7 separate regions of the Mus musculus genome follow, and all the other regions are reported to be linked to region 4. The links are microRNA targets in miRTarBase. Many come from high-throughput screens and were not tested one by one. Region 4 holds a microRNA gene; each other region holds the end of a gene's coding sequence.

Region 1 (4,772 bases), not on the chromosome of region 4:
TGAACCATGCCACTTACTACACACATCTGGGGTCACTCCAGTGTCTTGAGGGGTAATTTTTTCACCACTGAATAGTTAACACTGGCCATAATGCCAAGCAAGAGATACCCAAATGTGCTAATAAATTTCAGGTTGTCTCGCTAAAGAGATATAGTATTTAGAGGAAATTAAGACTTACAAATAAATATACCAAAACCTGACTTTAAGTTTTAAGTACATCAGGGATACTGCTATTTTCAATGCCAACGGTGAAGGATCAAGGCTATGCAGGAAACTGCTCAAGCTTCACAACAGACTATTAATGTACAGTGCTAACATACAGTAGTCTAGCTTTGTTCTTAAAAAGACCAGACCCAGAATTGTTTCTTCTCTCTTCAAGGAGCACTTAAGGAGTTTTCCTTAGGGTGTATGCAACTCACAGGCTTTGCTATAAACAATCACATTTTCATATAATTTAATCTAATGAAATATACAACAGTTTCTAAGTTTTTCCAGAATGTATATAAATTCAAAATAGTAAAGGCAAAGCTTAATTTACTTTTTCTGTTAACTTATACTCGATAAAACTAAAGTACTTAATAGCTCAAGTCGGATGGATGCAGGTTGAGAGCTTAAGGTTGAAATGAAGGGTATGATCAGCCTAAGCTACAATACCCTATTTCCTTAAGTAGATGAAAATTTAACAAAACAAATTGCCTGGCACATATATGAAGCTGCTTAACTACATTCTGCACTTAGAAACTGGTTGTCTGCCAAGCACCTTAGTGAATGAACCTGAGAATAAGCATGCATCTCCATGTCTCCTTGAAGTCTCTATACAATAGCATATATATGAATACATATAGAGACAAAAGAACTATAGAAGTTAATTTACTACAATCATTGGAAGGTCATGTTTTTAATATCAAGATACAATGATCAAAAGAGGAGAAAGGATGAAAAAAAATCATCTTTTTAGGAATATTAAGGCCCTGGTAATAAAATGGCCCTAAGCAAAAAGTCATCAATGGCATGCTACCTGGGGGAGGGGGGGGCATTATACACGTGGTATCTAAACATACTGTGAATTGTGCATGTACAAAAGATTTTATAGTCTTACTACACTAAGAGACATGTAGGACCATCAGTTCCCTGTACTCTGGTAAAATACACACTTGACCAAACAAAAGGTCTTCTGCCTCTAGACAAGCATTTGCATATTATAGAAGATACTGAGTAACAAAGACTCAGATCTTAAGGAAAAGACTTTAGCAGTTCTCTGTCCAGTGAGGTTGCTTTTAAAACAGTCTTGAATGCAGACGTTAAAACTCACTAGAACTGCAATGGTAGAATGACAGCTAATGATATGTTGCTGTTGAAAGGAATAAGCAACTTAAAAAATAAACAAGTCAAACTACAAACAACTTTTACACCTTCTGCCCTACACTTTGGGTAGAAGCCCGAAACGTGAGACATTCCCTGAATTCACTTCAGAACTCAAATTCAATACTAAACTTATTTTCTTCAATTTTGCTTTCTTACTATCATAAAATTATATTCTACACACGTAACACACCATCTAGGGATTATCCAATAAACCACAAACATTTTATCCATCCCAATAAAATACAATTAACATATGGTTGTGGTACATCCCAGGTAGTTGTCTTTTAAAGCACACAAGTGTAGGTGCTGGCAAAATAGTCTTGGCAAAAGTAAACAGATAACCCTTCCAATATGATGTACCATAACCACACATGAGAAAAGTCAAGAACTTATTTTATTTATTTTAAAATAAACATTGAAGCTTCCCCATTATCCACCACCCTACAAAACTTTTGAATGTGGAATGTTCAACAGCCTCAGCAGTTTTAGTAGGCTACAAAACCAGCAAAAACTCCAGTTGTCTAATGATGAATATCTGAGAATTGTTTTGAGTAGCTGATACCGGCTTGGAAAAAAAAAAAAAAAGTTTACAAAAGGCTAAAAGTAAAATTTAATTTCTGTACAGAAAATAACATTAACTTAGCCTTTGTGTTACCAAGTGGAATTATTTCTCCATGACATAAAATGGAATGGGACAAGCAGCATTCAGTTCATAGGCACGCAGAGCTAGTGCTCAAACTGCTAGCACAAATTCCAACACAGAACATATGGCTAAGTCACTGCTAACCTTTCCATCTCCAAACTGTCTACTCTCTATGCACCTAAGGCAAAGAATCAACACTTTGAACATAAGTGTCTCCTTGAGGAAAGGAGAGAATTCAAACAGGGTTAAATTTGACAAAAGATAAATGAAAATACTTCAGAAACAGCTACTAGACATAACCAAAGGCTGTGACACTAGCAATGCATGGGTTGAATTACTTTAGCTGCTAGCTGTTGAACACCAGTGTTTCAAGATACAACTTTTAGAAACATGTTTTTATTTGTTTTGCCATCAGAACTGAAACTACTGCCTGTCATTTCCCTAAAACAGGGAAATGAATCTAAAACACATACCGGTGCTTTTCTAAAGATAGCAATTTAAAAGGGTGGTAGCAGCAGGCATTTGATATCTTTTTCTTTAAGAACTTTCAGGCTGCAGGAGAAAACATGTGACCAAAAGTGTTATGATTATCCATCCATTAGCGATTTCCATCAGTACCTATTACCAATTTGAGTAACAATACAGCAAGATCCAAGGATTAGTGATGACAATGCAATTATGGTGAGGAATGACAAACAGGACCAATCCCCATGTAAGTCATTGTTCAGAGAAACTGTTAAGTGTTCCAAAGGTATCTAAATAGTTCACATTGAGCACAGCAGCAGCCCATCCAGATTATCCCCCATATTTGATGCATATTTTCCAGAAGAGCCAATCAAAGCCTGATTTGCAATTTGGCTTTGTCTTACACAGTATCCACTACTAAAGAGCAATTTACATGTGTTTTAATCACAGTCGTTTGGCCAGAAGACTAGTGAGTGCTATGTCAAGGCTGGTAGCCAGCCTCACTTGTGTGAGTAAGGACCCATGCATAATTTGGTATGCTTTTAATCTGTCGGTGCTCCAATTTAATGGGAAAGCTATGAAATGCAGTTTTGCTAAACCACACTCCACTCCTTCCATCTTCCTTTCAAAGAAAATGCTTTAACTTTGTCAATTACCACTGAATAGTTCTAGGGCTGATTGTAGATTTTATCCAAGGTCAAAAATTCAATCTTGCATTTTTTTTCCAAGCCACTTCAACTAACTATGGAGATATTATCACCCCATAAGTATATAATGTTTTACTCCTAAGCAAGGGTGAGGAATCTGAGTATTGTATTGTGTGCAAGGCTCAAGATGACGCTTAGGACAGAACATGCAGAATAAAAATAGTTTCCTTCCATATCCAGGTAATGTAAAGCTGACAATTGCAGTCCTGTCTTTATGGGATGAAAACAGTCCCTTTACAATAAGTTTCCTGAAAGGGAGAACAAATAGATAATAACTCTTCTGGTAACATATTATGGTACACTGGCCAGTGTGTTTTTGGCGATTAAACATAATCCTGTGTATCACATTAATTCACTTGCTGAGTGTTCATTTGCGGCATCCCTCTGTTGGGTCTTGGGGGCCCTCCACGACCTAGAAGACAAAAATGGCATTTGATTTTTCTTTCAAGTATTATTTGTTTTGCCTTCAAGCAGACTTTCATCTGAAGTCAAGAAGCATGTGGGCAGCTTGTCAGCACATTATTAGGCTTAAGAGGCCAATTCTTCAGTGTTCAAGTTTCACCTGTCCTTGGAGTTGTCATGTGCAAATTTGCTCATGTTCTCTAGGCTAAAAGAAGAGTAGAGCTAATGGGAGTATTCCACCAGTACTCATTCATTCATTCATTCAACAAGTATTTATTGAGTGCCTACTATGTGCCAGGCACTGTCATGAGGCGTTGGGAATAGATACAGCAGTGAAGACAAACAAGGTACCTGCTCTCATGGAGCTCACATTCTAAGGTACACGCTAGCTTACATTTCAATAGGAAGTGACATCATACTATCAAAATTAATAAAAAGCACCAGAATGAAAACAGACCTTTGTACCTAAACTGTTAAAAAGAAACTACAGAACATTCAAAATTGTATAATGACTTGTAACAGTTAAAATAACTTTTTACATGCTGTTGAAACAGATATTTTAGCTATCATTTAACTCAACTTTCATAGAATATGCTACAAGGTGGGATAGAAGAACATAACCCACATTCACATGCAAATACCTTTGATACTTCAGTATTTTTCCCAGATGACCCATTAACCTTTTGCTTTAAAGTACTTTCTTAATGATCAATTGCCACTAGCATTCAAATTAAAGTACTTTATAATTCCTCCTTAATATACATTTTATACATGTCATGGCCAGCCAAAAACTGTAAGAAACCTAATTCTTTAACCTCCTTCAATAAGAGAACCATTTAGAACATCAGATTACATGAAATGCTACCTGTAATTGTTCAACAAATTAACTATCTGCCCATGTAAGAAATTATTTTTCATTACTTGAAAAACAAATGAAACTAAAGCCTCTTAAGCTTGTCATTCTAAATTTTAATGACATCAAGGTCCTAAGAATTTGGGAGATCTGTTTAAACATCAGAAATATGTTGGTATTTAGAACACTAACATTGGTCCTAAAAGTGTTCAAGTTTAGATTAGTTATGTCAATTCTAAATGGTTCTCTAGCTAAAACTGTGGCTTATCTGGCCATTTGAAGGGCTTCTCAGCCTAAATATAATATGCATGTTTCAAAAATCAAAGAGGGTAATAAA
Region 2 (4,772 bases), not on the chromosome of region 4:
CTGAAGACATAGATGAAAAAATTGCCTTCCGAAATGATGCAAATTTTGAGTGGCAGAATGTGGCAGATTTCCGGGATGCAGGTGGATCCTTAACAGAGGTCAAAGTGGAAGAGGAAGAAAGGGATCCTCAGAGCCCAGAAGTAAGTATCACCCTGTGACCCATGCTTTCTTTATCAGTGATCCAGACATGCTGAGGAAGACCACAGACAATAGATAACAATCCTTTTGTTTTCTCCTGGTGACCTTATTTAATGTCTGTTCTCTCAGCTAAATGTAATCAATTACCTCAGTGATACAAGGTAGTGACATTGGGTACTTTAAATCATTTTAATAGTTGAGATTAAGAACTTTTTTGTGCTCAAACAGCCTAGAAAGGCCATCAAACAATCTTGAGACAGGTCTGGGGAGAAGGTTCAGTGTGTAAATGGCACAAACCTGACATTTCTGCAACTTCCCTTCAAAGCTGACTGCTGTGGCATGCATCTGTAACAGCAACACTGCTATGACAGACCTAGGAGAATAGCCCTGAAGCCTCCAGTCTGCTAGCTTCAAGCTTGCCTCATGGGAAACAAGAAAAACCCTACTTTGCGCAATGGCCCACATTCTCCTGCACTTACATATACATGTACACAAATAAGCAAGAAATGAAATAATAGTAATTAAAAGACCAGTAATGGAGCAAACTGATAATGACGAAAGCAAATACTAAATTCGCGTTTTTTTTCTTTTCTGTCAGTTTGAGATTGAGGAGGAGGAAGAGATGCTGTCATCTGTCATACCAGATTCCAGGAGGGAAAACGAGCTCCCTGACTTCCCTCACATTGATGAGTTTTTCACCCTCAATTCCACACCATCCAGACCCACCTATGATGAGCCCCATCTGCTCATGAACATAGAGAAACAGAAGCTGGAGCTGGAAAAACGCCGACTTGATATTGAGGCGGAAAGGCTGCAGGTGGAAAAGGAGCGGCTGCAGATAGAGAAAGAGCGCCTGCGCCACCTGGACCTGGAGCACGAGCGCTTACAGCTGGAGAAGGAGAGGCTGCAGATCGAGAGAGAAAAGTGGAGGCTGCAGCTGGTCAGCACCGAGAAACCGGCTCTAGAGAACGAGCTGGGCCAGGGCGAGAAGTCCATGCTGCAGCCACAGGACATCGAAGCAGAGAAGCTGAAACTTGAGCGCGAACGTCTACAGCTGGAAAAAGATCGGCTGCAATTTTTGAAGTTTGAATCAGAGAAGCTGCAGATAGAAAAGGAGCGCTTGCAGGTGGAGAAGGAGAGACTGCGGATTCAGAAAGAAGGGCATTTGCCTTGACTGTTCTTGTTCCTGGGCTTAGCAAACAATGAGGAATTGTAGCTTTCCCCCTCAGTTCATGCAAAGGTGGTCCTGGATTAGCTACCCCATCACCACCCCTGTTTAATGTCAGTGTTTTTAGTAGGAAAAAGATAGGAATACATTGGTAGCTGTGTGCTGCAGTAGTGTACTATATAAATGCTCTGCCCAACACAAACAGAATAGCAGAGGATCTGATAGGCACTTCCACATTAGTAATACTGCATAGAGCCCTGTCTTATTTGTGCACCCCAAGTTTACAATGATGTCTGTAGTAAAGTTTCTATCCAGTGATTCTCCAGTGGAGTTTGGGCTCCCAGAAGACATTTGGGACTATGGGATGTTATTTGGTGGTCAAAGTAAATGGGTGTAGGATGCTACCAGCCTCAGGAGAGGCTTCACCATGTTTAGCATAGTTGTCTTCACAAGAAAGAATTACCCAGTCCAAGATGTCATTAGTGCCAAGTTTGAAAAACTGTACACTTGGCCTAACTGTGCATCTTTATAGCTATGTTCTATAGTTTTAGAATATTAAAACTTTAGATATTTATGTGGTTAGATACTTAAACGGCCAAAACCATTTTAACTGTGAGACATTACTATGTAGTATGTTGAATATAGGGAGTGGTGGAGATTGTAGGTCCGTTATTCAAATGGTATTTTCTATCAATAGACTGAGACTTAGAAACCTGGGAGCATCTGAGATTGTTTAAAATGTGTCATTTTGAAAGGCAGTTGCCTTCAAGAATCAACACATGACTGGAAAGCTTTAGTTCTCCCTTCTTTGAAGCTGTTGTCATAGTTTTTATACAGAACTAACCATTTCAGTCATGTACTGAAATGTTATGTAAGAGAATGATAGAAGCTAGTAAAAATGGTACCAGTGCCAAAAAGGTAACAGAAATCCATGATGTGGAACCCAATGAATTGTCGATTGATTTCTAAGTGAAGAATAGTCATTTGAGACTGAGAGATGGGGGAAATATCCTCTGCATCAGTGACAGTGGTGTTGAAATGATAGTAGTAACTGTGTTATTGTTAGGGAAGATCTTGCTTAACTTAAAATCTACAGGAGTCTGTGAAAAGGTACCTTCTGACTCCAGAATCTGAAATTCAGAGAAATCCTGCAGAAAGTAAACGGCTGATACTTTATATAGCATTGTGTTTTTATCTTTACCCCTTCAGGATGGCTAAACCTGGGAATTCTAAATGCAAAGGGCAGACTTCGCCTGCTGATTTGCCCACAGTGTCCTGATTGTGGTTTATTTCAGTAGTGTACTTTCTCATGCACAACAAAGTTGCAAGTGGTTGCACGAATTCACTTTGTGTTTTCTGTTTTCTGGGGCTGATAGCTTTAATACAACACTTCTGTTGACACACTATCTTGATTCTGTATTCTTTGTTAATTTAAGAATGGCTAGAAACCATGATTGAATATAGGTATGCAAAGGGAAATTATACACATGATTACTTACTCTGATTTTGACATAGTGTTATTTTTTTATAATTCTATTAAATACTTCTACCTTAGAAATAAATTTTCCTGTCTGAAAGTTTATCATTCAGAGTTATATGTTATTTAGCATGAGAGAAAACAATACTAGAAGTGGGTTAGGAAACCTATGTGCTAAATTTTGAACTACACACTAGACATACAATTTATATCTACTCCATCCCCTTTTAAATTGAAATTTTTTTCATTCAGTATATTTTGATCACAGCTTCCCCTTCCCTCTCTCTTTTTTTTTCCCATTTTTTATTAGGTATTTAGCTCATTTACATTTCCAGTGCTATACCAAAAGTCCCCCATACCCACCCACCCCCACTCTCCTACCCACCCACTCCCCCTTTTTGGCCCTGGCGTTCCCCTGTACTGGGGCATATAAAGTTTGCGTGTCCAATGGGCCTCTCTTTCTAGTGATGGCCTACTAAGCCATCTTTTGATACATATGCAGCTAGAGTCAAGAGCTCCGGGGTACTGGTTAGTTCATAATGTTGTTCCACCCATAGGGTTGCAGATCCCTTTAGCTCCTTGGATACTTTCTCTAGCTCCTCCATTGGGAGCCCTGTGATCCATCCATTAGCTGACTGTGAGCATCCACTTCTGTGTTTGCTAGGCCCCGGCATAGTCTCACAAGAGACAGCTACATCTGGGTCCTTTCAATAAAACCTTGCTAGTGTATGCAATGGTGTCAGCATTTGGATGCTGATTATGGGGTGGATCCCTGGATATGGCAGTCTCTACATGGTCCATCCTTTCATCTCAGCTCCAAACTTTGTCTCTGTAACTCCTTCCATGGGTGTTTTTTTCCCAATTCTAAGGAGGGGCATAGTGTCCACATTTCAGTCTTCATTCCTCTTGAGTTTCATGTGTTTAGCAAATTGTATCTTATATCTTGGGTATCCTAGGTTTGGGGCTAATATCCACTTATCAGTGAGTACATATTGTGTGAGTTCCTTTGTGAATGTGTTACCTCACTCAGGATGATGTGATTGCCATTCGGTATTCCTCAGGTGAGAATTTTTTGTTCAGTTCTGAGCCCCATTTTTTAATGGGGTTATTTGATTTTCTGAAGTCCACCTTCTTGAGTTCTTTATATATATTGGATATTAGTCCCCTATCTGATTTAGGATAGGTAAAGATCCTTTCCCAATCTGTTGGTGGTCTTTTTGTCCTATTGACAGTGTCTTTTGCCTTGCAGAAGCTTTGGAGTTTGATTAGGTCCCATTTGTCAATTCTCGATCTTACAGTACAAGCCATTGCTGTTCTGTCCAGGAATTTTTCCCCTGTGCCCATATCTTCAAGGCTTTCCCCATTTTCTCCTCTATAAGTTTCAGTGTCTCTGGTTTTATGTGAAGTTCCTTGATCCACTTAGATTTGACCTTAGTACAAGGAGATAAGTATGGATCGATTCGCATTCTTCTACACAATAACAACCAGTTGTGCCAGCACCAATTGTTGAAAATGCTGTCTTTCTTTCACTGGATGGTTTTAGCTCCCTTGTCGAAGATCAAGTGACCATAGGTGTGTGGGTTCATTTCTGGGTCTTCAATTCTATTCCATTGGTCTACTTGTCTGTCTCTATACCAGTACCATGCAGTTTTTATCACAATTGCTCTGTAGTAAAGCTTTAGGTCAGGCATGGTGATTCCACCAGAGGTTCTTTTATCCTTGAGAAGAGTTTTTGCTATCCTAGGTTTTTTGTTATTCCAGATGAATTTGCAGATTGCTCCTTCTAATTCGTTGAAGAATTGAGTTGGAATTTTGATGGGGATTGCATTGAATCTGTAGATTGCTTTTGGCAAGATAGCCATTTTTACAATGTTAATCCTGCCAATCCATGAGCATGGGAGATCTTTCCATCTTCTGAGATCTTCTTTAATTTCTTTCTTCAGAGATTTGAAGTTTTTATCATACAGATCTTTCACTTCCTTAGTTAGA
Region 3 (4,772 bases), not on the chromosome of region 4:
GCTACAAGGAAGAAGGAAACTACTGAACATCCAGGAAACACTAGCAGCTAGTCCTGTGACTAGTCCCGTGACGACTAGTCCTATGACTAGTCCTAGGACGACTTGTAGGTAACAGGTACAATCTATGTGGGCCGTTCAAAAGCTCGTAAGGAAGTCTAAGGCTCTCAACCACAGGAAGCAGTCCCTATGGAAGGTTAAGCAGAAATAAAGGATGTAACATTCTCTCCCTAAAAAACAGCAGTAGGAATAGAAATGGCATAGAAAGCATGGGGTTGGGGGTGGGGGGAGATTAACCAGAAGACATTATACAATAATATATATTAAAATCTTTTATTTTTTTTTCAGAATTGAAACCCATAGAACACATTAGAAATCTTACCAAGTACAACCTCTATCTGCACATAAGCTCCAAGAGGAAATCCAAGGCAGATCAAACAAGGGTGGTGATGCCCACACCACCCTTTAGACAAATAAATTAGCTTCCCAGGAAGTTGCTCCCAGCTTCCCCCAGGAGTTTATGAGGACCACCTTAGGTCCTAAGAACCAGTGACAGCAGTGTCAGCCCGTTCACCACCCAGACTAGAGAAAGAAGGGGAGAAGAGCCTCCCCCACGGAGTGTGTCACCTGCTAGCAGGCTGCTCGGCTATGCGCGATGCACATTCTAACCTTACTAGCCAAGTCCTTTCTCGGTGCAGCCACTCAGTACTTCCTTGTGTCAAAGCAAGAACATTTTCCCACGTTAACCCAAACCTCCACCTCCTATCCTGAAACCCTGACCACAGGACTCACGGGAGTGTGCCGACAGCAGGTGCTATGATCACAAGATAATCAGAGATCCAGGAAGGAAAGGGAAGGGAGGCTGAAGGAACAGGAAGCAGGGGATAAGAAGACAAAGTGTGATAGCTTTAAAGAAAATGTGAGTTTCTTTGGATGGCAATGCTGTCTTCAGCACTGGGGAAACCGAGAAACTGTCAGGGTCCACTTTGCTGAATAACCTATAATGAACACACACCTGAATTTCTGTTTTCTTCTAAAAATTTAGTCTGACACTTTAACCCTGAGTGCAAACAGGGAGACATACCTTAAAAAATACCAAACCTCTTCAGCAAATCAGAGCCTGTTGTTTTAAAGGTGAGTTACTTATAGCTCTCCCCGAAGTACAATGAAGCCTTAGATGACTAAACAGTTTGAGAATAAAAATTCTATATTCAAATCTCTCCCATCTCAACTTCAGAACACATATACTTAAGAAGTGAAAGCAAAGGAGGAAAGAGCAATGGATTCGGAGTTCCTGGTTTTGTATTAAATGCCTCCATCTCTGTGGATGTTCAATCAGTAAAGCTAATTTGGAGCCCACCAGAATCCCCCAGTGCCTTGGATGTAATAGTCCTAATCTAGTAAATGACCCAAAAAGAGGCCGGCGTTACAATACTTACTGCCCGAGTGTGAAACACAGTGTGAGGCGGCTTTTCTCTAACTGCTCGGAGCAGCTTTCCTGCCTGTTCTTTTCCGCAGAAAACATGACGAGTACGGCTGCTTGCCTGGGAACAATCCCTACTCACTTCACCAGTGTGCAATGGAATGCTGAGCCACAGCTTAGTCAGCACGGAAGTCCACCACTCTGCTGGCTCCCAGCATAAAGTGCTAATAACCATGCTAATCTCAGAATTCAACTGAATTTTCTTGATGTACACAGCAAGTAGCCTGGAAACTGGACTTAATACCTCCTTTTGTTTTTGCTTTATTTTTTGGGTTTGGTCCTAGAACTTACTCTGTAGACCAGGCTGGCCTTGAACTCACAGAGATCTGACTGCCTCTACCTCCCAAATGCCAGGATTAAAGGTGTGCGTGTCACCACTGCCTGGCTCAATATCTCCTTTTGTTAACACTATTTTAGTGTTTTGTGCTAATATTTGTTTTCTGAAGTTCAATATCCCGAGTTTAAAAAAAGAAATATGCAGTATATTCCTTAATCTACCGCAAAGTGTACATTAAATGTACAAGTTTCCTAATTTCAAGCCATTTAAAAGTGGTTACAGGCTACTAGATTTGAATGTGAGAGACTAGGGGGTATAAACTCAATCTCCCCAGTCTCGAGGCTCAGAGGCTTAAAAGCTTTCACTGTTACCTGCAGGGTGCAGTCACCGGCACAGACAAGGTCACCACTGTCCTAGGAAGAGCGCCATTACAGGCCAGTTACTCACAGGGTATGACTTCACGAGAGAAGAGAGAGCTGGGCATGTTGGTTCATACCTATAATCCTAGCATGTGGAAGGCTAAGGCCAGTTCAAAGCCTGGGCTATACAGTAAGCTCCAGATCAGCCTGGGCTAGAGTCTATGGTCTACCTCAAAATGAACAATGCCAAAGAGAGAAAAAGAAAAAGCGTGGGGGGCAGGTGGCAGAGAGCACAGTTTCAGTGTTTTTGGGCAAAGGTGGACATGGGGTAAGTTAGTGTCCATAGAGGATCATGCCTGGGTTGTAATACTCTTTCCTCTAGAGATGATTGTGGTTAATATGAACACAACCGGGGGATGACTAATTTGCTCTGGACATATCTGAGAACCTAAACAGAGGGGAAGCTGTCTTTCACTAAGTCAATTATCTTCCTGGTTCTAAAGAGTGAGTCCCTCCCTCTTCTCTTCCCTGAGATGTCAAATCCATGCCACCCAATAGCTTAGAGTCCCAAGACCTTTCCGCCTTTCCCCTCCTCCAATCTCCCTTAAACACGGCCCCCGGTGCGGACCGCTATCCTGTCTAACGCCGCTCTGGAGGAACAGTATGGTTTCAATCTGACTAGTTCTGGTTTTTGTTTTTGTGTTTTTTTAAGACACAAGGAACTGCAAAGTATTTTCAGAGAATCCATGGGTGTAGAGAAAAGACAGCAAGGGTCACCCGAGACGCACACTCTGGAAACACTTCCTTAGCCAATGTCACACCTGCTCGCCCTTTGGTGTGGGAATAAAGACTGAGCAGAGCTGCTGCTGGCCGCCTGAGAGGTGAGGCAGCCTAACTGTGGTCCGTAGCTTGCACTGCAGAAAACACCGAGCACTCCCAGGGCCGCCACCGTCTTCTGCCACCAGCACCCACTGTGGCCACCTGCAGACCATCGCATGCCATTTGGAATTGATTGTGCTGTTTCTCTATCTTTGTAAAATCAGTTCCACTTGTTTTGCGTTGAGAATTACAAGTGGGAGAGTGGCATCCTGTCTTCCACCAGCACAGTATCCGTCCCAAACTGGTCAGTACACTGCTTGATGGTGGCCAAGACATTCAGAAGCCGCTGGTCCACAGTGTCCAAGTGTGGATCGGAGAGCACAGGGGAGATGGGGTCATGGGCCATGGCAGATTTTAAGGCAGACTTTAGTACTCCATTCTTTAGATAATTCAGTCTATTCCAGGTTGAAACCCGAATGCTGGAAGAAAAAGTTTAAAAAAGAAATTACATAACATCTTAATATTCAATTCATGCTATGAAAGGTTTTTGTTTGTCTGTTTCTTTGAATCGCCTCTATTTCAGACTTGCTTGTATATTAGAAGCAAGCTGTACTGCCATGGTATAAACTGGGGGAGGAGGGTGTAATTATATACATGAAAATGTATACATATTCCTAACAGTAAGAGAAAAACCAAGCCGATCTAAATGTCTAACAACTGAGAGATACTTCAAATTATGCCTAAGCTCTCAGGAAATACCACGAAGCCATTAAAAAGGTTTGAAATTGAGTGGCACAGGGAAAAGCCCATGATATTATGTTAGACTTGAGGAAGTTAGAAAGACTCTTTTATTCCTTGCCCTGGGGAAACTACAGTGTGTAACTAGAGTGCTGAGACTACAGGATTAGAGTGAGGTGCACTGTGCTAACAGTTACCCTTAGGTATTAGGGGGACTCTAACTTCATTACTCAAATGTTTCTGAACTTTAAAAATTCTACCATTAATAAAAGAAGAACAGTTACTTAAAGAATATCTATTTTTTGTTGTTGTTGGGTGTGGTGGCACATGCCTTTAATCCCAGCATTTGGGAGGCAGAGGCAGGCGGACCTTTGACTACTGAGCAAGTTCCAGGTCAGACTGGACTACATAGAGAAACCTTGTCCCAAAACTCTTCCACCCCCACCCCACCCCCACACACTCCAAACCAAAAGGAAGGAAGGAAGGAAGGAAGGAAGGAAGGAAGGAAGGAAGGAAGGAAGGAAGGAAGGAAGGAAGGAAGGACAACAAACACTTACCAACCAACCAAAACACAGAGACTACTTTCTTGGGATGGGATGGGGTGGGGATGGGGATGGCTCGGCAAAGAAGAACATCTGTTGGTCTTGGAGAGGACCTGAGTTCAGTTCTCAGAACTCACTCTGAATGCCTTCTTCTGGCTTCTGTAAGCACTGCACTCAGGAGCAGAGTCCCACAGACAGACAGGCAGGCAGGCAGGCAGGCAGGCAGGCAGGCAGGCAAGGAGGCAGGCACGCACCCACACACATACACACACTTAAATTTTTTTTTTTTTAATGTTTTTCTTCCCCCTTCCCTTCTTCCTTTTGCTCTGGCCCGCTCCCCCTATCCCATCTCTGGCCTCCTGAGTGTTCCAGCCCATAGGTTTTTTTATTTTTTTTTAATTTTTTTTTATTTTTTTTTTAAAGATTTATTTATTATTATATGTAAGTACACTGTAGCTGTCTTCAGACACTCCAGAAGAGGGAGTCAGATCTTACAGATGGTTTTGAGCCACCATGTGGTTGCTGGGATTTGAACTCAGGACCTTCAGAAGAGCAGT
Region 4 (4,772 bases):
ATCTACTTTATTAGAAGGGAAGGAGGTCTTTGCTACCACATCAAACTTAACTACAATTAGGCACCAATAAAATACTAAGTCATAGCACAGGAAGTATCTCATTATTTTGTTTCTGTAATTACTTCAAACATTAGTGACTTAAGAAAATCCTACATACTTAATAGAGAATTTACTAGCCTCCATCTCTTTTCATTAAGATTTCATGTCATCACAGCAGTTAAAATCCATGTTCTTGACCACTCTTCACCTCCCAAGGAGAACAGAAGCCCCACCTCACTGGTGTAGGACCAATGTTATCACTGTATTTTCCCTAATGAAATGGAAGCTTAGGGAACTAGCTCAAAGGTGAAGTATAATTCAGTAAAAAAATTCTAACTAAATTGAACCTATGTAATGAGGTCCCCAAAAAGTAATAAAAGGCTTTCAAAGTTGGGAAATTCCAAGGCACAAAGAATGACACATAGTGATACCTCTCCCTTCTGATGAGAACTCAATGTTCAGATAGGTAAAACCAACACATACCTACCTAGTTTTTCCACTTACCAAAGACAGGGCAGTGTTAACATTAACACATGAAACAGAATGAGAAAGTGGGGTAAAAAATGTGCCTGAGTCCTTTCAACTTTATGAATTTGAAACTTAAAATAGAACCGGGCGTTTTTTTTTTTTTAACCTATAGTTCTTTGGGCGAGCACCATCAGCACCTGAGACTGGGTTACAAAGGCAAATCCTGAGGGCTCACCTGATGACAGTCACTCTCTGGAGATGGGACTGGCAGGGTTTTCAGTAGTGATAAAACCAAAGACTCAACGCAAACTTAAATTCCAGTTATATTCAAATGTTCCTTCAAGACATACCCTATAAAATTTGTTTTCAGCTCAGTGGGGGAAGGGCACTTGCCATCGGGCCTAAGAAATCTAAGATGTATGTCCATGACCCACATGACTAGCTCCCTACAGTTGTTCTCAAATCACCACATGACACACACACTAAATAAGTAGATAGATAGATAGATAGATAGATAGATAGATAGATAGATAGATAGATAGATAAATGTATGTAAATGCTGGAAGTCTAGGAGTGGAGGGGTGCCTACCTTTAATCTCAGCATTCTAGAAGCAGAAACACACAGATCTCCGCAAGTTCAAGGCTAGCCTAGTTTACAAATTGAGTTCCAAGCTAACCAGAGCTACATACCAAGACGCTATTTTAGAAAAGCCAATAGTATTGCTAATTTAAAAAGAGAGCCATTGCCATATCCAGGGATCCATCCCATAATCAGCTTCCAAACGCTGACACCATTGCATACACTAGCAAGATTTTCCTGAAAGGACCCAGATATAGCTGTCTCTTGTGAGACTATGCTGGGGCCTAGCAAACACAGAAGTGGATGATCACAGTCAGCTATTGGATGGATCACAGGGTCCCCAATGGAGGAGCTAGAGAAAGTACCCAAGGAGCTAAAGGGATCTGCAACCCTATAGGTGGAACAACAATATGAACTAACCAGTACCCCGGAGCTCTTGTCTCTAGCTGCATATGTATCAAAAGATGGCCTAGTCAGCCATCACTGGAAAGAGAGGCCCTTTGGACTTGCAAACTTTATATGCCCCAGTACAGGGGAACGCCAGGGCCAAAAAGGGGGAGTGGGTGGGTAGGGGAGTGGGGGTGGGTGGGTATGGGGGACTTTTGGGATAGCATTGGAAATGTAAACGAGGAAAATACCTAATAAAAAAAAAGAGAGAAAAAAAAGAGAGCCCCAGGCTGGAGAGATGGCTCAGTGGTTAAGAGCACTGACTGCTCTTCCAGCGGTACTGAGTTCAAATCCCAGCAACCACATGGTGGCTCACAACCATCTGGAATGGGGTCTGATGCCACCTTCTGGTGTCTATGGAGACAGCTACAGTGTACTTGTCATATAATAAATAAATAAATAAATAAATAAATAGAATCTTTTAAAAAAGAAAAAAGAAACCCATTTTTTTTCAGACTTATATATCAGCTTTATTTTGCAAATTTCAGGTTTGTTTACATTCAGTGCAATCAAAATGTCAGGATTTCAAATATATTTAAAAATATGTAGTTTTAAAAAATTAGACTCCAAGCTGGGCGTGGTGGCGCACGCCTTTGATCCCAGCACTTGGGAGGCAGAGGCAGGCAGATTTCTGAGTTCGAGGCCACCCTGAGTGAGTTCCAGGACAGCCAGGGCTATACAGAGAAACTCTGTCTTGAAAAACCAAAAAAAAAAAAAAAAAATCCACTCCAAATGTGTTCAAAGCAATGACTAGCTAAAGGATTTTACAATCTTACTATAGCACTGATAGACGGCTGTCCACATAGGTCCTGCGGTTTACAGATGGATACCGTGCAATTTTCCTCCTATTACACCAACCAAAATTGCATCGTGTTCCACCTGATAACAGCAAAACAGTTCATTTCATAATTACAGTCTAACATAACTTACAATACTCAGAAACTAAAAGACGATTAAAAACCCTCTTTCTTCCTCAGGCCGGGACAAGTGCAATACTTTATATCTAACACAAGTAATGCCACCAATCCCCACCTGTGGATGAATGGGCATGGATGCTGAAGATGTGCATAAAGGTGTCCATTACGATGCAGAAAGGTACACATTCCCACAATCAGTTTTGCATGGATTTGCACAGCCATATATTCACATATACGCTGAACTGCAAATCTGCAAAACTAATCGTAAGTAGCAATGTCCTTGCGCTGTAGTTGCTTCAACAAGACCTTGGTTGATCCAGGAGTACTAGAAGTGCTCACACTGCAGTAGAGTGGTATAAAAACTACCTGCACTATGAGCACTTTGGCACTACTAGGATCCGAGCTTGTTCTTCTACACAACTGTATACTACAGTCTCCGCCATCTGTTTCTCGGCGAAACACTGAAAGAGCCTTTGAAACTTGTGCCGTTCAAATCATTTCTCAAGATATGCTTTTCAAATGCAAGGTAAGAAGTAGCCTGTGCGAGAAGGGGCATTTAGGGCAGTAGATTGTAAGCTGCTTCACTAACAGCACTAGATGCACCTTAACACAAGAGACACATTACAAGGAGCAGCTCAAAAACATCCACAATCTAACTATGCAGAAACCAGGGGACTCAGCGGCCTCTGATTAAATCACCATGGTAATGTAAGAAGTGCTGGCACTGCAGTAGAACTCAAAAAGCTACCTGCACTGTTAGCACTTTGACATGGCCAAGGCATACTCCAGGAGTGTAACCTTGAAGTCTTCCACGAACTCTTCTTTGCCAGATCTGCAGACTCACCTGGATAAACACACACACACACACACAGCAAGTAAGTGAACTGTGAGTTACTATTTCTAAAACAAGTTTGCCTTCCGTTAAGAGTGCAAATGGGGTTGTGTTACTTCAAACATTAATAAGCTCAATTATTTACACAGACTTAAACATGAATAACACTGGCAATCTCAGAATGTCTGACTCTTAAGAGTAAGAGGATTTTGGACTCCCTCTCCGTCTAAGGAAATTTGAGATTCGCATCCCAGAAAATTTGCAGAGCTGTAATATCCACCATGGTTTTCTAAGAGGCAAGAGCCCAGGAAAAGATGTAAGCAAAAAAATAAATAAATAACATTAGGGTGAGTACTGACGTCTTGAGCTCATCCAGAGCTTTGGGGAGCCACTCGGAAGGTCTCTATGTTTGATTACATGAAGCATCCCTGCCCCCAGCCCATTAAGAGAAAATGATAGAAATTTCAGAGCCGCTTTAAGAAACAGTTTTACACTCTTCACATACCGCACAGATGGCCTAGAGATGTCACATTTTCATCTATTTCAAAGGGCTCTACTTCTGTTTAAACATTTATGGACCCATTTTCTCCATTAAACCTAAAGAAGTCAGATTAGCTCTTTGGCTTCATGTCATTATCTTCCACAGGAAAAACCTCTCTCATTTCCAAGTGTGTATCTTACCCAGGAAAATGCTGCAGAGGACAGTCTGAGGGGTCACGAGCTCCCTCCCTCCCATGATGGAATGTTTGTGTTGATGGGGGGACACCAATAAACTTCAGGGACACAAAACTTGAAATGTGTTCAATGAGAAAGGATATTTTAAATGTTGGAACTTTTCGAAGCCACTTAGTGACTAAGATAGTTCTTAAAACATTTTAAATATAAATTAGCAAAACTTTTGAAGTAAATATGAAATCTGCTTCCTATAGTGCAAGTATTGGCTTATTATACTTTTCTTCTTGAACTGGGTTCCTACAACTAGAGATTTTTGCCTCCACTAAAAATATATTACAAAACCTGACTCAACTTCGCAAAACCATACCTCAGCCCTCCAGAGAAAGCTCCTTCTAGCTAATACCTTTCTTTAACACATCTGCTCTCCATCATATATACTAGAAAGTCGCTGTACAACTTCTAAAATTGCAAAGAGGACCCAGTCTTTTACCATTTCGGGATTTTCTCTGGTCTATTCCCGCATCTTCAGCAGCGGCTCCAGTAGAGATCTGTGAACCTCCTGGGAACGCAGGGTGTGCTCCAGCCAGTCATGCCACGCGCTTAGGTCTTCAAGACACCTTAGCGGCCACCAAAATTAAACAGAAAGAAACAAAGCATTATGGGAAACGGAGTTCTCCATTCAAAGCCCCCAAAACGCGCCAAGCTTAAGCCTCTCCCTCCATTCTCGGGTTGGTGGGAGGGAAACCAAGGTAGGTCGGGAGTCCTCCCGCCCCACACCCCACGTGCACCCTGGCATTTGACCACCCACAAGTTC
Region 5 (3,000 bases), not on the chromosome of region 4:
GACAAAACCCCACCAGGTATTATCAGACTTACCCTAGTCTAAAAAGTGCCAAACATGGCCTCAAAATAGGCAGATGGCATTTAAAGTAACATTTCTGATTGCCCATACATATCCCAATATTTAACCTGGTACTGTCTATAGGTCAGTGACTTTAGTTACAATTATTAATAAATATGGCATATACACACAAGCATTTCTTTATATAAAATATTTGATACCAATTTCTAGGCAAGGCTTGTTGGTAACATGAGCTTCCTTTAGTCCTCTTTCTTATGGGGAGGAGAGCTCTCATCTGCAGGATGACCTGGGACTGTGTGGAATGCACAGATGCCTAGGAAGTGGCCCATCCAACAGGAGGCGCTCCACAGTTTCCTGCCCACTCACACCCAGGAGCCCACAACATCCCCAATAATGTTCAAGATGAAAAATTAAAGACAATATAGCTGATTCTATAAAAAGAGGTGAATTATCAAAGATGCCCATTTTTAGTTATCATTTGAAAATAGTTTGCTATATTTTGGCTTTTGAGTACAAAATTGATAATATAGGTTTGTATCAAGGTGTCCCACACTCACAAAAAGCATTCCACTTGTGGTTTAAAATTCCTAACTGACCACCTGCGGGGGTTGGGGCTGCTACAGCTTCTGGAACAAGCAGCTTAGGACCTTGCTCTTGGTGCTCCTAATGACAACAAAATCACCCATAAGCCTTCATTTTATAAGCCTCAAATGACAGTATTAAAAACCCTGTGGGCCACAGGCCTCAGCCAGAAGAAGAGCACAGCTTACCCACTTACAGCTCTTCTAAGGAACAGGGGGCAGAGGCTCCTGTCAGTCTCCCTGGTGTCTCCGCCTTTCACACCCGCAGCTCAGTGGGGCAGGAGCCAGAGCTCTCTTACTGCTATAGCTCTGCTTTCTGCACTCAGAGCTGGGACATTTCTTCTTTTTCTTTTGAGTTGAAGATGTATCAGGGATGGAACCTATCTCAGGGTTAAGACTTTCTCCCCAGCCTCTGGGTACTGTTAGTCTGACTGCAGAGCAGGAGGCCTGACTCACTGACAGCGGAGGACAGCAGGGTGACACCTCTGCTTGGCGTCTGCTCTTTCCTCTGGCTACCCTGCCAATCAAGGCAGCTCAGGCTCTGCACAAATACTTATGTTTTCTTCCCTTTCACCCTCTACCCCATTTGAAGAGCCATATCCCTGTGTAGCACTCCAGAGAAATCTAGAACATGAGAGCTGTTTCTAGACATGTTTTCAGAGAGGTTAGAAAACCTCTAGAAGATATCAGATATTAATATTTCCTTTTTGTTCAGATTCGGGAGCTGTGCTAATCTTGAGGTTTTATGTAGAGTGTTTCAGGAGAAACAAACAGGATGGTCTTCCAGGTCACACTTACCCTGAGTCATGACAACATGTGGCCGTGCTGAACAAAATGCAGGTGACTACCATGGTCTCGCTCTCATCGTCCCAGCCACCCAGGGGGCGCTAGGAAACCAACGTTAACCTTGAGCTGGAGGCGACTTGTCCTTACTACTTTGGGGCCACAAAAGACCAGTGCCAGGACCTCTCCTAGCCCCCGTGCTCTGTGTCACTCAAAACGGCATCTGTGCTACAAAGCTAACGTGACCCACAAAACCACCACCAAAAGATGCCACTAAGGAACTGACCTCAAGGACAACTCCTGAAAGCCAGCTGGGATCCCAGGAACAGCAGTGAGACCCGGTCATCCCACAGTCACTAATAAAGCTCCACTGACCCTACCCAAAGGCACATTTGGTAAGCAATAAGAAATGGCTTAGCGTAAGATGAGGATCTTTCAAAATAAACTGTAGACCATCCCCTGGCTCCTACCAAATATAAACTCAATATAAACTAAAGAAAGCAACACTCCTCTTTCCGGGCAGCATTTCCAACTTGCTTTTCAACTTGGACACCACAAAAAAGGGGAGTGAAGGCAAAGGCAACCAGACTGTGCAAGTTCTGAGTCCTAAAGGCAGCACTTATGGGTGGCAGAGCTGGTGCCAGATAGAGGTGGGGAGGGTGGGACAGGGCGGGGTCACTGTGGTGCAAGGACCTGTGTGGGATGTGCCTGAGGGACGGCAGCTGCACACTAGCACCGGAGAGCGACAGTCATCCCAGGAAGAGCTCAAGGCTATACCCAAATGATTCCTACACAAAGAAAAGAAGAGCCCCTTTTGGCTATCTGTTTATGTCCAAAGAGAAACCCAAAGTGCCAGACTTCATAACAGGGAAAAGAAACCTGATTACTTGAGATCACATTATGAAATAAGACGGTAAATCAATAGCTTTCATTTGGAGCTTATAACAGTTCTAGAATTTCTGACCAAGGCTGTGTGGGAAAGGTCGGCCCTTCCTAAAACCCTGTTGTGGTCCAGCAGTGGTCTGCAGGTCCTCAGGAAGGCACTGTGATGGAGGCAGGAGCAAGGGCTTCTGTTTGTGCTTCTTTGTTGTTGCTTTTTCTTTCTTTTCATCTTTTGAGGTGGAAATACTTCTTGTGACAGTCAAAGCTCTTTCTTCACTCTTGCTGCTCACACAAGCAGTCCCATGCGAGTGACTTTGGCGGATAAGAACGTGTGCAATACAAATACAATCGGCTTTGGACAAGAATGCAGGTCCATAGTCTGTGGAGAAGAAACATGAGTTGTCACTGTAATTCTCTCTCTCCTTTCCTTTCTTTCTTTCATGTACATCTGGTGTTTGTCCTACATATATATCTGTGTGAGGGAGTCAGATCCACAGGAATCTGAGTTAGAGGCATTGTGATCTGCCATATCCATGCTGGGAATTGAACCTAGGTCCTCTAGAAGAGCAGCCAGTGCTCTTAACTGCTAAGCCATCTCTCTAGTTCTACACACACTTTATAAACAATGGTATTAAATACATTTAGATGTGATGTTTCACTTTTGTTTTGTTTTGCTTTTAAAAAGCAATCTTAGACGGGCGTGGTGGCTTACGCCTTTGATCCCAGCACTTGGGAG
Region 6 (4,506 bases), not on the chromosome of region 4:
CCTTCTTAGCTGTCCTCAGGCCCAGGATGCTAACCTTTTCTGTTGGTAGAGCAAGATTGCTTGCTGCATCTTATGCAAAGATGTGCTTTTCTGTGGTGTGCTGTGCCCCCTGGTGGCAGCCTGCTTGTCCTCTAGAGAGTGGGCTAGAGTCACAGAACTGACTGGTACCTGTGGGGCAAGGAGCTGCTCGGACAGCTAGGCACCCCTTATCTGATGTCCTCACTGTCTCTTCTTAGAGACAATGGCAGGTAATGTCAGCTCCAGAAGAGGTTGGGAGGGAAGATTCAAGCCAGAGGGCAGGATTGCAGGCTGTGTAAATGAGGCAGGGTGGGGGTGAGCAACATTGCAAGGCTCACATGAAAACTCCCTGTGTAATCCAAGCTAGCCCTAAGCTCCTGGCTGTGTCTGGTCTCAGCCTCCCAAGCATGGAGTTATGGGCATCAGCCACTGCTCTCCTGTAAGATTCCTCTTCCTGCATTTGTGCCTTTTCCTTTGAACATTGATGAGTCCCCACAACCTCTGACCTGTCTTCATAACCCTCTCACAGTGTACCCAGAATGTAATACCTAACTTTATTCCAGAGAAAGTTAGCAAGCAGGAACAAAACTTAAATGCTCCCATGTTTCCTGCTCTGAGCAGCCTGTCAGACAAGACTGTCTAGCCAAGTGAGCGCATTTCTCTATTGATTGCCCTTGTTCAAGAGAGACATGACTTCAGCTAGAACTCCACTGAGTGCCTGATAAGCTAAAAGGTTATTTTGTCCCTGGGATGATATCTTCAGGTAGTCAGTGCTGATGCCTTGAAGATGTGCAGAAGAGGCTGTAGAGAAGAGCTCTCAAAAAAAACAAAAAACAAACCAAGCAGTGCCCGGAGTGGTGGCACACCCCTGTACCGCCAGTGACTGGAAGGCAGAAGCAGAAGGATTCCTCCTGACCAGAGTGCTCTCCACAGTAGACCGAGGGTTCCAGGCTGACCAAGGCTACGACATAGCAGAACTGTGTCTCAAAAAGCCCCCAAGACTGCCCTTAATCACTAGCATGTGTTAAACTGGTTCCTGCAAAGTACTTTGTGTCTATTTGTACCCTTCTCTGAAGGACCAGTCTATCCCAGCATGCCTTGTGTGCAGCCCCACGTATGTCAGGTTTCTCTTGTTTGTTGATGGTGTATCACACAGATCACTCACTGCCACCATAAGCAGGCAGTCTCTCCTGTGCACTGTGTATTTGAATAGATACACATGAGATGGCAGTTCTTAGGTCTCTCAACACTGCTCATAGCAGGATGGTGATGCTCATTATATTAATTATTATTATCATCATTATTATTATTTTAATGAAAATAACTGTGACTTTGCCTCCTAACCAGATATTCTTTTGTGTTTTCTTCCAAAGCATCAACGACAACTTTCTTTGCCACTTACCCAGTCTAAGTCATCTCCCAAAAGAGGATTTTTCAGGGAAGAAACAGATCATTTAATCAAGAACCTCCTAGGCAAGAGAATTAGTAAACTTATTAACTCTTCCGATGACCTCCAGGACAGCTCAAGGGAGTTCTACGACAGCTGGCATAGCAAGCCCACAGACTACCACGGCCTGTTGTTGCCTCACATTGAGGGGCCGGAAATCAAGGTGTGGGCTCAGCGCTATTTACGTTGGATTCCAGAAGCCCAAATCCTGGGTGGTGGCAGAGTGGCCACCATGGGCAAACTCTTAGAGATGATGGAGGAAGTGCAGAGCTTGCAGGAGAAGATAGAGGCAAGACACCACAGGCAGGAGGCTGTCCATGCAGAGGCACCCGGCCTGCTCAGGAACTCAGTCCGCCTGTCTTCCTTGTTCCCCTTTGCACTGCTCCAGCGACATTCGGCCAAGCCTGTCTTACCCACCAGTGGCTGGAAAGCTTTAGGAGGCGAAGATGACCTGGCCAAACGAGAAGATGAGTTTGTGGACCTAGGGGACGTGTGACCTGTCTCCTCAGGGACTGTGAAAGAGGCACACTGTATGGTGGGACAGTTGTTCCCTGGACTGGTGTCACGGTGTTAGCCCAGTGGTGTGAAGGAAAGAGCAGAGGCTTTTGGGAAGAGAGCTTGTTCTCCTTTTCTTCCACAGTTCTGGAAGACATTCAATGAAAGCCATGCCTCTAGTATGCATAGGACGGAGTTCCTCCTTGACCTGTCATAGGATGGGGTCGTCTCCTGACATCTGTATTATATGTATACAGAATGGCTCACGGCCAGGCTGCTGTGAGAGCTCCCTCCTGTTGTTTCTGTGCCAAGATAATTATGTAGCCATTCCGAACAAGAGGTATTCAGGGATGTGCTTAGACCATAGCATATTCCTTGACTTAAACCATAGCATATTCCAATGCGTGCGTGTACACACACACACACACACACACACACACACACACACACACACGCAGCCCATAGAGAACTTGGACAGTTCTGCTGGTGTCATCCATCCTAATGTTCAGCCCCTCCTTCCTGGGCTGTAACAACACAGGATGCGGGCAGCCTCCTTCCCTTTTCCTTTGCTGTCACTCCCACCTTCCCTTTTCCTGCTCTATGCATACCATCCTATGAGTCTACCTTGGTGTGCATCGTCCCAGGGTCCTGCTGCTGTGACCTGTTGATTAAACTGGGGGCAGTCCTCTGTCTTCCACAGGGGAGCTCATTCCTGGAGCCCTCAGTTTTGACCACACATTTGGCCCTCTGCTCACCACACCTGGACTGTGCCTCTCTGCAGCCCCTCAGCTGGTCCCCTTGCCTTCCCCGTTACCCTCACAGATGCTGGGGTGGGCAGGCCAATTCGAATGTGGCTTTCACAGGAAAGCGGTCGTGTCAGAAGCAGTTATCACTCATATATGCCTCAGCGATGTCAAAAGCCATAGAAGAAACCCAGCTCTGCCTAGTCACCTTGGATCTGCTGTCTTAAAGATATATATTTTTTTAATGTTTGAAAGAATCCTTTGTAAGGCTCAGTCCTATCATTCTCAACAGAGCCCTGTTCAGTCCCACAAACGGTGTGAAGAGTGGGAGTGGGCGAGGGACCTCATTGAGTCTGCCTCAAGTGTTTGCCTTTTATCTATATTTGCTGGTCAGGAGAGGTCCTGTTGAGGGCGTCTCTGTTGCTCATGGGCAATAAGACATTTTGAAACTTCACAAAGAATCCTTTCTGATTGCACTGAATCATCTTTCATACATAATGATAATTTTTCCTCGTCTCCCTCCATAATAATGCACAATCCGGGTTGGTGTGTTGACCCAGCAAGTTGAGGGGAGGTCAGGATTTGTGTTTCTGGGGACAAATGCACTCAGTCTCGGTTGCCTTAAGAGTCTTTCAGGCCAGGTTCGTGCTAGGCTTGCGCTAGGAACTTAGAACACACCAGTCCTTAGCTCCCTCTCCCTGGGCTCCTTGGGCTTCTCTAAACTAGCACTAACCGCCACGCCCTGAGCCTCTGCCACACCCTCAGCCTCTGCCTCCCAAGTCCTCAGCGGAGAGAACTATTTTTGTTACCATATTATAACGTGAATGTTTATATGGTAGACTCTACAGTCTTAGTGATTTTCTTTCCAAAAAATGCCTCTTGTGATGTTTTGTACTTCACAACGTATGGTTTAAAGGCACATGGTCATGACCCTTGGTATAGCAGTTGAATGTGCATTAAAATATTTTTCTATTTTTTTAAATCACAATAGAAAAAGTAAATAAGCTGTTATGACCTGTGTGGTTATGACTTATGTATTTATATTTGAAGCCAGATTTCTATAACTTGGATTTGTGTACAGAACTTCCCGTGGGTTTATATATTGTGTATTTTTATTCAAGATTGAGATGTGGATTATGCTTAACATTAAAAGATACAATAAGACCATTTGTTTAAAACACACTGTGCAAGTTTGGAAGTGTCTGTTAATAATTTACTGTGTATAACACTTGCATTTGTTTATACCTCTATGTTTTTACACTGAAGATAAACTAGCTTTAATTAAATTTTAAAAATTTAAGGGATTAAGCTATTAGACTGAGTCAGCTTCACTGTGCAGTTTATTTTCTGGGTGTTAATGAAAGTTTATACATGTCTCACTGCATTGGAGCTGACTGCAGAGATTAAAGCACAACTTTGAAACAGCGCCATGGTTGGTGTGCACGGTCTGCTCCTAGTTTATCCTCCTCATTCGTTCAGGACTTGATAAACGTGTCCTGGGTTCTGGCAGGCCCCACAGCAGGCAGAGCCCAGGGAAGCACAAAGCTGTGCTTTCCAGGAACCCCCACACCTCCACCCTTTCCTATCCTCTGCGTATATGCATGTATGAACACTCGTGTGGTTGGCTGGTGATAGGCAACCAGCATCCAGACAAATACTCAAAATTCCAAATGATAATAAGATGCTCTGAAGAGGGTTGATGAGATAGATGGCTCAGCAGGTACAGGAACTTGCCACCAAGTCTTAGGGCCCTAGTTCAGTCCCCAGGACCCAACAGAAAGAACTGACCCCTTTAAATTGTCT
Region 7 (4,772 bases), not on the chromosome of region 4:
CCATTTCCAATGAGAGGTTGTCTTTGATCAACTTCATCAAAGAGTCTCCTCCCTTCTCTTTTTCTATCATATAACTATTCTCCCCAATAAAAGGAACATCACCTTAACCTACTTTTTCCTTGTGGCAGTGATGTAACATGACATTATATATTTATTATGTATTATATAAGGACCTATTTTTTTCCTTCTAGAATGTAACGTTTGTGAGCATGGGACCTCCCTTCGTTTATTGCTGCATTTGGAAAGAATGAATGTCTCTGTCTCATTACACACTTTGCCTTGCAATCTTGCTGTCTACTCTGCTGGGCAGCGGGGTTGTATCCTGTTCACCTTGGTTTCCAATCCCTCCCCAGCTCTTTTAAGTAACCTGGAGTGACTCTGTAATAATCTTCATATGATTGATCTTAACAGAAATTCTCAAGACTACCCATCCTTTATAAAATTCAGAACCATTTTATCATTTACCACCCCCAAAAGACTGCCCTGAAATCATACATGAACAGTTCTGCTACAGAGTATTGGAGGCGTCTCATTGTTATAATAATGCCCAAGCAGCTCTGGCCGCCAAGTCGATCATGATGGCAAACTCTGAGAGTGTGGGATTTTAGAATTGTGGTCACGTTCCATCATGGGGTTCTTTCTGTACCATGTCTCTCTTCACAACTGAGAAAGCGTGGAATGACTTATTTAAGTCATTGATTTAAAGTATCTTAAAAAAAAAACAACAAACACAGATGACACATTTTAATGTATATTAAAACATGAATGTAAAACTATTTGCTGTATTTTACAGGTGAGCAAACTTGAGTTTAAAGAGAATTTTGGCAACTTGTTTTCAGTTAGTCGTTGTCTAAGCTGTATCTGAACCGGAGCTATTTCACAATAGCAAGCCACACTCCTCAGTGTCTGACTCTCCTGATTCACATAGCACAAGGTTTTTATTTGTTTGTTTGTTTTTAATTCTTGTCATATTCCATTGTGATGGTGAATCTAAGGAAAGTCATTTTAAAAGTGTGAAAAATCTTCAGGACACAATGAGGGCATTATAAAAACAAGTTAGCTCTATATAACCAACACTCTGGGTTGATAACTTAATGGAAAATTTATTTCTTCATCTATACCAGTGGTTTTCAAGCTTCCTAATGCTGTGACCCTTTATTACAGCTCCTCATGTTGTGATGACCCCTCCCCCTCATCATGAAATTTGTTGTTGCTACTTCATAGCTGTAATGTTGCGACTATTATAAATCTTAATGTAAATATCTGCTATGTAGGATATCTGATACGCTACCCCAGTGACTTGTCTGACTCCCAAAGGTGTCATTTACTCCCAAAAGGTTCACAATTCATAGACTGAGAACTGTTGATCTATATCAACGGTGTGTGGTGTGTATGTGTGTGTGTGTGTGTGTGTGTGTGTGTGTGTGTGTGTGTGTGTGTGAATAAAAGAGGGAGAGGAAAAGAAAGGGAGGAAGAGACTGAGGAACTGAGATGGGTGGAGGGAGGAAGAAATAAACGGGGTGGGATGGGAGTGGTGTGGGGTGCATATGAAGACTAGCCTGGAACTCCATATAGCCCAGGCTAGCCTTGACCTCACACTGATACTCTTATTTTAGCCTCCTTTGTGCTGGGATTACAAATGTGCACCATCACACCCAGCTCCAGGCTTCTGGATGTTGGTAGGGAGAGACCAAGTGATTTCAGATGATTAATAAACATATAGGCACAGTTACTTGCCCTGGTTTCCTTTGCAGGACCACGACCTTCAGGTCTCAGGTCTGCTGTCCCCTGAAAGACTAAAGAAGGGAGGAGAGACCATTAAAAGGCACTAGGGTAGATAATACAGAGATAATGTCTTTCGAGAACACTGTAGTTGAGTGAATCTTTTAAAGCTAAGTAGAGGTTGACAGTGTATTTGTAACAAGAAAAAAATTGAAACTGGTTCAGAATCACCAAAAATCACAGTGGTATTTTGGCATTAAGCAGTCAATAATAAAAGTGCAATAAAGGACAATTTTTAGAAATCCTTCTGCTGGCCTGCAGCCATAGCTGAAGGCTGTTTGGACCCCCCCACACACACACTTGTGGGGAAGCCTCATGTTACGAGCTATGTAGCAGAAAGGAAAACAGCAGCAGCGACCACAACATCAACATACAGTTACTTTACATGTAAAACAGATAAATATACAGACGAGGTATAAGAAATGAAAATAACATGTACACTAAGAACATCCCAACACAAACCGGCTTTATTTAAACCAGACAAGTGAATTCTTCCATTAGCATCAGCTTCTTCAAGACTCAAGGATATGGAAATGAAGAGCGGGGCTCCACAAGGTAGAGAGGTGAAGACTGACCAAGGAGTAGCCTTTCAAAAAGCCCTTGGAAGGGAACCCTTGATCCAAAAGATCACTAGATCTCCTGTTACGGCGTGTGTACAACATCCTCATTTGAAAGTGACCCATCTATCTTAATGAAAACCTCTCAGGATGAAATGTCCATATATGCGAGCGTATCATAAATTATATTAAAGTTTTAGAAATGAAATAAAGTACCGATCTCAGTTTAAATACTAAAACAGAAATCAGGAAAAAAAGAAAAAGAAAAAGAAACAATCTTCAACATTATTACTTAGGATATCTCGTTACACCCTTCCTAGGTACAAACATATATAAAACAGACCATTATTTCTAACTGATATCTCGACCCAGTACTTTTGCCCTGAGTCTGGGGTGATCAATCAGATCAGCTATGGGAGCCCCTCCAAATTTATACAGGGGTTTGCTGCCCTTCATACGGCATATGCAAATGAGGGCAAGTCATCTCAGACTATTACAGTGTAGTGTAAAGTAAATCCGATGGGACATGACAGTGGTGAGGGGTGTAAGAAGACAAAGATAAAACTGCACACAATGTTCAATGTTCGCCACTTTCATTAACCCCTTCGTTTAAAGTCTTCTCACAGGGTCACATGTTTAGAACTGCAGATATGTGTTTAACTTTGTGTTGAGTTGGTCAGCACCTTGATTGACAGGAGCAATTACAATGAGAAAAGCATACAGACAGAGAAGAGAGAAATCACGAGGAACAAAAACAGAAGGGGGGGATCCTTTTTTCTTTTCTTTTCTTTTTTTTTTGTCCTAAGACATTGCAACAGAAAAGATTTGAGAGAGAGAGAGAGAACAAAGTGTTCACAGTGCAACATACCAGATTCGTAGTTTCATTTGAAACCAACAGCAAATCATGAAACGTCATGAAAAAATATAAGTAAAGGCAAAATCTCCTAGAGTAATTACTAAATGAAGTTAAAATTACCACACTGATCAGTAAACCCCAGAAGAAAAATGGACAGCGCTTTCATTTCAGGCCCCTCTGAATGAACATCATACAAGTTTTCAAAGTTAATGCATGAAATTGGTTAGGTTTGGCCACGCTGCACAATTTCTTGTTTTTTTTTTTTTTAAAAATACAGTATACAGAAAAAATTCTTATATTCCCCATTTTGTATCATAAGCTTGAAAGCTAAGAGCAAAAGGTCTAGGATTTTAGGTTATTTACAAATACAGCAGGTTCATCCACCATAGTGGCTTGGTTTCTGCCCCACGGAGATGTCACCTTCTCTGGCAAGGCCCGTCAGTCCTCTGTCCGCACGAGGGGCTGTTCCTCTACTGTGTATCGGTCATTTTGAACAGTTCCAACAGGGCCCCAACAGCTCCAAAATAACCCTGCAAAAACACGGAGAACTCCTGTAGGGTTGTTCCTGAACCGTAACCAAAGAACTATTGCGTTCATTAGTTCTAGGAAGGCTGCCCTGCACTTTACAGATCTATAACATTAGAAACGGAACTCATGACAGGAGATATGGGTTAGAGGCAAGGCCTGTGTTTAGCACAAGCAAGTCTACACAGTTGATCTCCCTAAACACAAAACAAACACTGATCTCTTGGATAAAAAAAAAAAAAACTCAAGACCAAGTAATCAAATAACTATCACTAGTCTGAATGTATATTTATCTATATTAATATAGAAAAGTGCTTAGGACTGTATCTGGCACTGCCTTCTTATAAAACAAAAGCTCATATTTCTGATAATGAAGGTTTCTAAAACTCAGCTATATTAGGAAATAGCGTCTTAGTCATTGGCTTGCTATATGTAACAAAATACCACACTCTGAGTGGCTTATAAAATAAATAAACACTATGACTTCATCTCATAGCTTTTTGGATGCAGGGCAGTCCAAAGTCAAGGTGTTTGTGAAAGCCAGGCTCCTGGCAGACTCGGTCGTCACCGTGAACTGGCACAGCAGAGAGTGCCTCTTTTATAAAGGCACTCATTCCTTTGTAGAACTCAGCCCTGGTGACCTAGTCTCCTCCCCAAGGTCTCACCTACTGACACTGTCATCTTGGGGATTAGGATTTTAGTGTATGAAGGGATGGCATACAAACATTGAGTCCACTAGCTACCTGGTGCCCAAAGGGCTAGGGAGACACAGCTCCTGTTTTGCCTGCCTCAGCAGTTACCTTAGAGATGGCGTGGATCAGTCAGGACCTTTAAGGCAGTTTCTGAATTCTTATCACATGTTAGAAATTTTTCCAAGCACTTTACATTTAAGTGTAAATCACTGTCAATCACAGGGACAGCTCCTACTGACTTCACACGTGTTGGATAACCACACAGAAGTGCTGCTACTGGGTCATTGAATTCTAACTTTGGGTTTTTCTAAGAAATTTCCCATACTGTTTCCTATAGTCATTTGTTATCATTGTTTATTA

The links. Region 4 holds the annotated microRNA mmu-miR-19b-3p (UGUGCAAAUCCAUGCAAAACUGA, at 2,646-2,668, opposite strand). A microRNA usually pairs through its seed, bases 2 to 8, with sites in the 3' UTR of a target mRNA and lowers its output. Matches are read on the target gene's strand: a 7mer-m8 pairs with bases 2 to 8, a 7mer-A1 pairs with bases 2 to 7 and ends in A, and an 8mer does both.
Region 1: miRTarBase lists Caprin1 as a target of mmu-miR-19b-3p. Seed matches in the 3' UTR shown: 7mer-A1 at 3,293-3,299.
Region 2: miRTarBase lists Msantd4 as a target of mmu-miR-19b-3p. The part of its 3' UTR that is shown has no 7-base or 8-base seed match.
Region 3: miRTarBase lists Fam20b as a target of mmu-miR-19b-3p. Seed matches in the 3' UTR shown: 7mer-A1 at 1,571-1,577 and 7mer-m8 at 1,062-1,068.
Region 5: miRTarBase lists Sntb2 as a target of mmu-miR-19b-3p. Seed matches in the 3' UTR shown: 7mer-A1 at 1,972-1,978.
Region 6: miRTarBase lists Mtmr12 as a target of mmu-miR-19b-3p. The part of its 3' UTR that is shown has no 7-base or 8-base seed match.
Region 7: the mRNA of Pank1 is a reported target of mmu-miR-19b-3p. The part of its 3' UTR that is shown has no 7-base or 8-base seed match.

Annotation. Positions count from the first base shown.
Region 1 is chr2:103,763,272-103,768,043 of GRCm38, forward strand. It overlaps Caprin1 (cell cycle associated protein 1), which reads right to left. Exons shown (of 19, transcript NM_016739.3): 19 at 1-3,592. The coding sequence ends at 3,528. Among named protein-coding and RNA genes, the nearest start is that of Nat10, 4.4 kb to the left of the region's middle.
Region 2 is chr9:4,384,003-4,388,774 of GRCm38, forward strand. It overlaps Msantd4 (Myb/SANT-like DNA-binding domain containing 4 with coiled-coils), which reads left to right. Exons shown (of 3, transcript NM_145609.2): 2 at 1-140; 3 at 737-2,888. The coding sequence ends at 1,312. Among named protein-coding and RNA genes, the nearest start is that of Msantd4, 9.8 kb to the left of the region's middle.
Region 3 is chr1:156,678,229-156,683,000 of GRCm38, forward strand. It overlaps Fam20b (family with sequence similarity 20, member B), which reads right to left. Exons shown (of 8, transcript NM_145413.4): 8 at 343-3,414. The coding sequence ends at 3,183. Among named protein-coding and RNA genes, the nearest start is that of Tor3a, 6.3 kb to the left of the region's middle.
Region 4 is chrX:52,739,346-52,744,117 of GRCm38, forward strand. Mir19b-2 (microRNA 19b-2) reads right to left here and starts at 2,721; the gene lies at 2,638-2,721. It overlaps Mir363 (microRNA 363), which reads right to left and starts at 2,422; the gene lies at 2,348-2,422. It overlaps Mir92-2 (microRNA 92-2), which reads right to left and starts at 2,583; the gene lies at 2,493-2,583. Mir20b (microRNA 20b) reads right to left here and starts at 2,847; the gene lies at 2,768-2,847. It also overlaps Mir18b, Mir106a and Kis2.
Region 5 is chr8:107,010,935-107,013,934 of GRCm38, reverse strand. Sntb2 (syntrophin, basic 2) reads right to left here. Exons shown (of 7, transcript NM_009229.5): 7 at 1-2,643. The coding sequence ends at 2,551. Among named protein-coding and RNA genes, the nearest start is that of Gm22085, 2.8 kb to the right of the region's middle.
Region 6 is chr15:12,268,111-12,272,616 of GRCm38, forward strand. Mtmr12 (myotubularin related protein 12) reads left to right here. Exons shown (of 16, transcript NM_172958.4): 16 at 1,392-4,130. The coding sequence ends at 1,961. Among named protein-coding and RNA genes, the nearest start is that of Gm52210, 50 kb to the right of the region's middle.
Region 7 is chr19:34,808,663-34,813,434 of GRCm38, forward strand. It overlaps Pank1 (pantothenate kinase 1), which reads right to left. Exons shown (of 7, transcript NM_001114339.2): 7 at 1-3,725. The coding sequence ends at 3,666. Among named protein-coding and RNA genes, the nearest start is that of Mir107, 9.7 kb to the right of the region's middle.